2 linked regions of the Drosophila melanogaster genome follow. The protein of the gene in region 1 interacts with the protein of each later gene in a pairwise test. Each region holds a gene or a part of one and is shown in the gene's direction. Other genes may lie near its edges.

Evidence for each region. The genes of interacting proteins can lie anywhere in the genome.
Region 2: the proteins of CG2267 (region 1) and Dlc90F interact in a two-hybrid assay, tested with the Drosophila melanogaster proteins (2 studies listed by BioGRID).

What each region holds. Positions count from the first base shown.
Region 1 is NT_033777.3:30,626,095-30,631,919, reverse strand, and holds CG2267 (uncharacterized protein), read left to right. Parts: upstream 1-2,891; 5' UTR 2,892-3,088; coding exon 3,089-3,199; intron 3,200-3,253; coding exon 3,254-4,315; 3' UTR 4,316-4,679; downstream 4,680-5,825.
Region 2 is NT_033777.3:18,296,725-18,300,544, forward strand, and holds Dlc90F (dynein light chain 90F), read left to right. Parts: upstream 1-2,504; 5' UTR 2,505-2,697; coding exon 2,698-3,033; 3' UTR 3,034-3,320; downstream 3,321-3,820. Other genes in the region: Polr1E (RNA polymerase I subunit E), read right to left, coding at 3,649-3,820. UniProt on the Drosophila melanogaster protein: Acts as one of several non-catalytic accessory components of the cytoplasmic dynein complex that are thought to be involved in linking dynein to cargos and to adapter proteins that regulate dynein function.

The sequences.
Region 1 (5,825 bases):
TTTGTGACAGCTGATTTATGGCCTTGGCTTGACGTGGGATCCTGTGAAAGGATTCTTAAAGGATGCACATGGAATAATTAGCTAAGAATATTTGTGAATTTAAAAATGCCTTTTAACAATTTTTATGGCACTTTGTAACAGATGAAAAAATATTTTTTATCCCAAAGCGCGTTTCTTAGAAGCTCTTCAAAGGATGCGTATGACACAATTAGCCAGCCGCAAATGGGGTTCGTTAGTGCCCCATCTCCTGAATATCCTTCGCCAGGAATAAAAAAAAAGGGGTTGCGTGGATAAACTTTGTGAACTCTTCTTTTATTTTTGTTTCAGCTTGCGGAAATTGAATTAACTGGCTCAGCCTTCGCTGAAATGTCAATCCAAAGTAGAAGAAGTCACCTTGAGGAGAGGCTCATTAGGATTCCGTTTCTGGCGGCGAAGTTATCTGCGCTTGTTTACCTTGAAATTAAAAATGCAAAGATTCCTTCCAAGGATATTTCCCTCCGGCATCTGCAGCAGCGGGCCAGCTGAATTATTTATGGCACTTGCCGTTAGTCGAACAGAAACAGATTACAAGATTAAATTATTGTAACAAGAGCATTACGCAACTACTTTGCATAATTTACCGCAGAAAAGAAGGACGAACGGCGAAAGGCGCAGAAATAAAAACATTCATCTTGGCCCTAAGTCGGCACTTCTTGGCTTGTGTTAAAATATGTATACAATAGGTGGAGCTCCCTCTACTCGCCCCTTTGAACCCGCTTTTCGTAGGTGACTATCCCACGAGGTCCCACGAGGCGTATACGTAACTTGCAGTGTTTACAACAATTTGTCACTTTTGCCAAAGACGCCAGGACGCCAGGAGGAAAAGCAAGGACCGCAAAAGGGGATCGCAGACTGCAGGCCAGACTCCTCGGCAGGAATGCCTAATTTGCATTTTAATTTAATTTTTTCCATACCGCGAAATGTCAACAGACAGGAGACTCGACTTGAGTCACTCGCAGACATTTTCCTCCCCTCCAAGGAGTTTTCCTCCGCCAGTGTTTGTCTTTCTCGCTTTTTCTTGGCGCACTTTTAATTGCGCCCTGCATATGCATGAACCCAGTGGCAACTCAATTAAAGCCAAGCCTTTGAACTTCAGCCAGCGACTCTTGAACTTTCCTTCGAAATCAGCGAAAATCAATGCTCAACTAGCATCGATTGTTAGTAGACCGACCACAAAATGGGGATATAACGTAAAGAGTATGCTTGCAATCCGATATCACCCCTTTCCACTAGGGTTGTAAATCTAGCGGAAATTGTCAGGGCCAGCCAATCGTGCAACCGTTATTACCTGTTGACCTCCTTCCTTCGGACTCACTGCGTCCTGGCCACTTCGCTGAATTGCATTCCGCTTCCGTCTGGGTCACGGCTCATAATTCTTTAAATTTATGAAGTGTAACCGGATCGGAGTCTGGCTCTCTTTCAACAAAGTGCGGAATGGGATTTGGTCACAGGTTTCCAATGGGGTTAAGCTTTGCATAACAAACTTCAGTTTTGCACTGTAGGCAGTAACACTGATTTAGCGAATAAAAATTAGCATTGTTTCTACAAAAACAAAAAAAAAAGTAGTAGACGCAATATGGAATGGCATACCTCGCTGAAATCGTTACAAAATTTCCAATCGAATGGCATTCAAGCCTAGAAAAGTCAAAATTTTGCCATTTTTCCCAATTTTGATGATGGTACCCCTTAAAAAAAATGCGAAAAATTTGAAAAATATGAATTTTCCCATACCGACTAAAAATTGTTATGGCTAACAAGTTATGATAATTAGCTGCACAAAACAGTAGTTATTTTAGCTGTGCGACCAATTTAGAGCAAGCAAAGTCATTTTACATTGGTATTCCTCTCCCAGCCCAGCCCCCGAACCCCCTTCATCGAACCACCCACCCACCTTTCCTTTATTTCCAACCTCATCGCCATCTAGATCTCATCTTGTGTCACGTGACGACACTCACCTAATTTGAGAGCAGCTCTTAATCTGCACAATGAGATAAATACCTTTTGTGGTGCAGGCGGTTAGCCGCAGAGTGCCCCGCCTTAACCCACTTGTGCCCACGCCGTGTTCTCGTAATCCGTGGGCTGTTACCGTTACCGAGGCACTTGGCACGCTCCCGAATTGCCACTTGAGGCAAATTGCCTTGGAGCAAAACTTTCGAGACTTTGGCACGAACGGAACGACTCGGCGTTTATTACCTGTCGCTGGGAGCCAAGCGTTTACTTTCCTCCCCAAAAGGTCGCTTATCTGGAGCTGTTAATGTATTAATTTGAATTCTTTATGGGGAGCGGAGCTGCATATATTCCGGCCGGTCCGAAATATGTTTGACATGGCAAATTTAGTGGAAAATTGCCGCATGTCGCAAGTATGCAAGTGAAAATGCTACGTGACTCCGTTGCAAATAAAAAGTCAACCAGCCACTGGGGGAGACAAATTGGCCAGCTTCTGCAGCTTCGGTCTGAAATTTAAAAAACAAATCACACCTACAAGCGCCCAAGACAAATTTCCAGACGGTCCCACACACACGTATGTATGTACAGTGAGAGGACGAATGTCCTGCCGGTAATGGAGTGGACTTTATTTGGGCTCCTTGTTTGCCAGCTCCACGCTCGACTGCCCGTACCTTTTGTGGCACGCTCCGGCGACGAGCGGCGCATTTGTCAGACTCTTCGTCCGGATTGGGAGGCAAAAGTGCGGATGGGCAGTGCATGTGGTATGCACTCGGAGAAAACGGCACCAGCGGATTTAGAATTTTAAATCGAAGAATTTCATTTCAAGCTAGATATTTGTATGACAACAGAAACCTATCGATTCCCTGTGCGTGTAGAGTATTTTCCCCAGTGTAGTCTACCGACAGTGGTGTGTACGCTAGTACTCCTAGCAAACACACTCATTCTACAAATGTCAACCGTTGTTGGTTTAACTCACATGCCTTTCCAATTCCATTCCATTCCTTTAACCTACACATCACACAACAAATAAATTCCTGAACATAAAGATCATTTTTGATACCTGAAATTTCCACACGAAATTTCTACACGAAATTTTCTGAACATGGCCGGAGAAACAGAGCAGCTAACGTTGCTTAGTGAACTGAACAATATTGGAGGTGGCGAGTTCGAGTCGGGATACTGCCTGAATGAGAAACCTATTCTGCCGCCAGTGGTTGGTGATTATCTTTTGAGATAGCATATGAACTGTATTATATATCCCTAATAGATGACTGACTGGAAGAGACTGGAAATGATGCGACTGCGCTTGTGCGCCTTAACCAAGGAGGTGGTCCAGAAGAGGAACCAGATTACAAATCCTGAACGGAGGGATGCATCTACCAATACAAAATCGCAACAAGGATTTGGTTGTCCGGTCATAATGGGACGCTTCCGCCAGAGATTACAGCAATCGGAGACAATGATCTATGATCACACAGCCGAGATGACCATGCAGATTTCTGCTCCGCCTAGCATGCCAATTGGGATGACTTCTCAGCTGGTAATGGAGGATGCTTCTCTGACTCCGCCGCAAAGAGTTGTTGTCACGCTGACACCCGTGAAGTTGGCCACAGCAGAGAGTGTTTGGGTGACCAAGTTGGATCCACCGAAGGCGGAGAAACCCAAGCCAACGGAGAATGTCCTGGAACCACTTCATCGGAGCTCTACCAGTCCTGATCTTTCGAAGCTTCATCACCAACTGTGGCGAAGAGATCTGATGCAGATTCCCAAGTCACAGTTTACTTTGCCTATAAAATGTGAGCCACAAAGTGTACAAGGTATCGAGCAGCAGCAACCCAATAAGCTTACGACAATCAGGAGTCCCAGTCGAATCCCGAAACTGATTACCAGCCATGTGGCCAACAGTGCCAGTGTCACCAAAACCCAGAGTGCCTACCAGGCCCGACGCACCTATGACGCCAAAGTGGCTGCCAAGCGAAAAATTCTGGTGAGCAGGGGCCAGATTTCCTCAGTCAAACAGAAACCTCTGCCTGATACCAGCCACTTGAATGTGCCGAAAAGCATCAGGACTCCAGTGCCGGTCTATAAAAGACCAGGATATGTGCAGGACGAAGAGCAAATTCAAAAGAATCGCTTCAAGTCCTTGATTCTTCGCCAGGCGGAGGAAAACAGGCGTATCCAAGACAAAATGCAACAGGAGCACCAGGGTCTCATCGCTACCATGATGAACGATCTCAACAACGCCGTCGAGATCTCGAACGATTATAAGTCCTTGGAGAAGGCATTGCACCTGGACTCCAGCACCTCCAGCGATCCCAGCCAGAACTGATCAGACAATACAGAGATGCGCTTTCAAAATTGTTAAACGTTCACCCGGGAACGGAATAGGACGATAGCAGTGAATAAGAGGAACGGACGGCAAAACATAATACCCAATAATCCGCCACGAATTTTCCATTCGGTGGCCTCTTTAATTGGAATTGAAAATTCTTGATTGGAACATTTTGAATTGAAGCAGCAATCAAATCGACTTTTCAACTCGCGCAAGAACTGTATTTTCCCGTGGGGGTGCGACAAATCAGTTTGTATTGCAGTGTATATATTCAGAGGATTATCCAAAGTCCATAATGTTCTCCGCCTTTTCAATTTCAGCACTGTGTTGGAAAAAATTGTAATAATTATCTATTATCTGTATAGTTTCGTGTGTTATTTAATGGTCATCAAAGCGGCGTAATTTTATATAAGCTATTTAAATCGCATGTTCCAGTTTGGCATTGGCGAATTTTCCGAACGTGAGACGACAATCCGACTTGTGGCATAATCCGCGAGTCGGTCGGGCACCAAAAATATACAGCGTCTCTAATTGCGCCCAACGTCTGCGGTTGATGCCACACAAGTTGCACCGCAGTTTGTCCCACTCCCGGAGGTTTGGCCACCTGCCCGCGCTCGTCTCACATTGATGTCTCTATATGAAAGTCAGTCCCCCTGAGCCATTTCCCATTTTCCTGGCGAATTCGCTTGGCCCGTTTCACTTGGCGCGCCCATAACTCGGCGTGTTATTAAGTGTAAAAATTAAAATTTCATAAATTGTTATGCTTTATTTAGAGTGCGCCGAGCAGTTCCTCCGGCTCCCCAACTGCCAAGTTTCCTGTTCCACTGCAATGGCAATGTGTGTGGTTCTGTGTGATTTGCGCGCTTCGGAAGCTGGCGATATTGAGACTTAAGTGGACATAATTAAAAGCACTTAAGAGTCGCCACAGATACAGATCGCACCGACTGAGATATAGACGTGGTCCATGAGGATGAGTGAGGGCAGAATGGCGAAAATCGCATTGGATGACGGCCAAATTTGTCAGATAGTGGAAAGATCGCAGACGGTGTCTAGATTAGTGGCCATATTAAAGAGCTTTGTCTTTCCTTTCGTACCCTTCAAATCTCAAGCGAATCAAAGATGATCGAAGTATAGGTGCGTATGTTCTACGTGTGCTAATAAGTCTAAGAAGTAAATTCAAACCCACCTCATTAAACTCGAAAATGAATAAGTAATGAGGTACGATGTTTGCCATACCAGCGCATTATCCATAGGCAAATGAAGTTGGAAATAGTTGCCTAATCTCTTGTTTTTTCACTTGGCTAATCACATGAAGTGAGGAAAACTTGCACACGAGCACACAAAAATGCCATGGAAATCATTTCGCGCTTTCACTTGGTGGCATGGGTTTATTAAATGAAGTGCACATGAAACGGGCATTTGGATTTCATGACTAGAATAAACATAATCAAAGTAATAACTCGAGCAGCTATTCTCCGCCTCTGGAAAAGTCCTCGCCACCCCTGGA
Region 2 (3,820 bases), about 12 Mb from region 1:
TATTGATAGACATACTGCATATACAATGTAGTTTTGTGCTAAACCCACAAATTCTAGACAAACAATGCGGTCTGAAAATTGCACGTTTGCATGTAAAATATATGGGGAGCAGCAGATGAAATTCATCACTGAATGCTCCTCCATCTCCTACCCCTGCAATCCACTCGTGCGTTTCATGGCGGGACACTTGGCGAATGTGGGTCAAAGTTGAACACAATCAGAGCTGAAAGCTTACATCAGTACTTTCGAACACGCCCACATTTCTGTGCACTCCAATGTGTATCCGAGTACTGAGTGCAAAAGCAAAACACTTGCCGCCCATTTCAGTAGTTAAAAAACAATGCACTTTGAAAAGCCTATAAAGAGGATCTTTTGTGCCATTTGCGTGTAGCATCAGATTCAGTCGTATAAATGATACCCTTGGGCGTATAATAATATTTAATATTCTGATACTTTTTGATATCATCTGCCGTTATCATAACGAAACGGTGTATACGATTTAAGTAAGCATATTAAACCGCTTTATTGCTTGGCATTTCATAAGATTGCACTTCTCTAAAAGATTGTGTAATATATATATATATATATGTATATATACATTGCGTGATATACATTTCCTGTTTTTGTCATATGAAGATTGCTCTGCGAAGGGTTTTTATCACTGGGCACTGGCGTAGAGAAAAAGGGTGCTGGAATAGCATATGTTATATGGTTATGGCTACCATGTGAGGATCGCCCGAAAGTCAGTCAGCTGGAAAGTGAGGTAAGCGCGCAAATGCACCACCTGCTGCGTCCGAAAGTGACAAAACGAAAACGAAACTCCTTCGGTTTTCTATTTTATTAATGGGTAAAGAAGAAGCTTCGTGCAGAGTTACACAGAGAGAAAAACTGCAAATGTATGACTCGTAAAAAAAGTGTATTTAGTGACCAATGGTGACCATTTGAAGCGGTATTTATGTAGGCAGCTGTTCTCTAATAATTCCAGTTATTCGTTAAATGCAATGACAGTGTTTTTCGTGTGCTGGCGATTATGCAGTCAAAACAGAAAATGGGTTTCCCATCCCATCCATAAATGTCACTGTACTCCCCGCTTATCGCTTGAGGCTTGAGTAAACAGTCGGAACAAACGTAGCATATCGGTTTATGCAATACTTTTTGAATTGTACAATAACTATTGTGCAGTCGCCAAGTTTCCCCTTTTGCCTTATACTTGCAGTCAGCCGGGCAAACATTTAATTAATTAACAAATGCGACCTTGACTGGAATTTCAATTAAGTAAGTAGCTTGAGCAAAACTTTGATGAGAATGGTGGAGTGATGTTACATATGTATGTATGTTTGCAAAAGCAAGCAGTTGTCAGGGTGATGTTGTGGTTAAATATCAATTGCGGGTAACTAACCTTTTGGTGATTTCCGATTCGTTCCGATCCGATTCGTTTCGATTCAAAAAAAAAAAACCGATCCGCAAAGTTGGTTTAGTGGTTTTTTTTTGTCTTTGCCTTTTTGGTTCGCAGAGGGTGGACCAAAACAGTTAAAAGTTAAAGAGAGTGACTAATGCCGCACGCACACAGTCGCACTCAATTTGTTGTCATACACACACAGAGAGACAAGCGCACACTCGCGGGCATCAACTTTGCACTCTTCTCACCCCCTCTCGCTCGTTCACTCGCATTCAAGGTGGTTAACGAGAGGTGAGCCAACAAAAACAACAACAGCAGCAGCCGCGGAGCGCACTCACACACACGCGCTAAATAGCTGAACAGCAGCTGCAAAAGTAGTAGCACGTATCCGCAGAGACAAAAACGAAGAAAGCAGGAGATGGAGAAGGAAGTGCGCCTGCAGCTGCGACAATTATCACCCGATTATTTCGCAGCGTGTATTGCGAAATGTGCGCCTTCGATTTGCTAAATACTTTTGCTTAATTATACGCACGCACACACACACCAAGGCACTTTCCCATAACGAATTTAATTCAATTCAACGACGTGCTGCACGAATCGCTTTCAGCTGTGCATTTAATAGCGATATTTGTCGGCCTTGATATGCGTCGATGTTTTTCAATGGTGTCGCAGAAGAGTTATGGAATAATTTAATTATTTTTCGTTTTTATTGCGCCGCGAACGCGTCCGTTATGTTGATTCTGCCAGAGTGACCGTGGCTTGCAGTCGAAATAATCCAGCGATTAAAAGTTTAATTTTCCCGCGGTTTTCAGCACTGTTTTCTATCGATTAATTTAAATGCTTAGATGTGTTTCCACTGGCATCATGGTTATAATAGGTTTTAACTTGTTTGGTTCCTTTTGAAAGTACTTAATCTAATTATACTCTCCTTGACTAATTGCTTTGGAAAATGTTGATAGCGAAACCTTTGTTTTTAATAAAAGACAACTGTTTCTTCTCTTGAAATCTCTAGTGTGAAGATGCTGAAATGACCCACGATGTAACCGTTTCTCCGGTTAAATTGCAACACAGTCTGACCAGATCAAGGTGCCCAAGAAAATACTTCCAAATTAAAAGCAAACTTTGCTTTCCGCATCCCTTAGAAAAATAGAATCCCGATATATATTATTTGGACTGCTCGAACGCCGCCGACGAGCCCAAAAACGCGCGCACATTTACAACGACAACAATACAAACTTGAGCTCAGTACGTAAACTTTTTTGACCAGCTGCCGTTAGAAGCAAATCAAAGCTGCGACGATGGATGACTCACGCGAAGAAAGCCAGTTCATTGTGGACGACGTGAGCAAGACGATTAAAGAGGCCATCGAGACGACCATCGGCGGTAACGCCTACCAGCACGACAAGGTGAACAACTGGACCGGCCAGGTGGTGGAGAACTGCCTGACGGTGCTCACCAAGGAGCAGAAGCCCTACAAGTACATTGTGACCGCCATGATCATGCAAAAGAACGGTGCTGGACTCCACACCGCCAGCTCCTGCTACTGGAACAACGACACCGACGGATCGTGCACAGTACGCTGGGAGAACAAGACCATGTACTGCATCGTTTCGGTCTTCGGACTGGCCGTCTAGAGTGGAGGAATGGCAGGACTGCCGGAATTCGCGATGAAGATGACTTAAAAGGGGGAGGGACTAACAAGATTGCCGTCGTACACCAGCACACACCAACAACACAAATACCATACTTTTTTGATCGGCCATCCATCCTGCTGTAATAACAAAATTTATTATGGAGCACTTGAAAACCTTGTCGTCACTTCCAAGCAATTAGCAAGCAACTATTCCGTTGCCAGTGTACTCGCCTAATGTTATTCTTGATTTTCAATCTAAAAACGTAAATAAAAAGTGTATAATACCGTAGCATAATAAGTTAATCATTGCAAACTGTTTTCAATGGGTCATCATTTTTTGGGTCGTGGGAATATTTTTCGTTTCCATGGCAGCAATTGGCCATTGGTCTAAAATCGATTTAAATTCCCAGGCATTTGTTAAAATTAAACTTTAATGGTCTTTCTCTTATTTCTTTATTTATTTTAGTTTATCAAAACCTTCTATCGTTTAGAATAATAATATTCCTTCTGGCATTGCCCAAAATAACAAAATCAGAAGTACCTGGATGCAATAAATGTAATTGGCGCGCCAGGGTTTGTTAAATCGATGGCGGGCGCGGTGTCCTTGAAGATACTCCTACTTCTTGCGCTGGAAGCGACGGCCCGACTTTAGAGCCGGAACCTTGCTGGGCAGGCGCAGGCTAAGGATGTCCGAATTGGATTTTGGCAGAGCGTTCACAATGTGGGCGTACTGCTTGATCCGAGCCTTGGTGGTGGCCAAAGCACGGGAGAGGACATTGATGTCCACT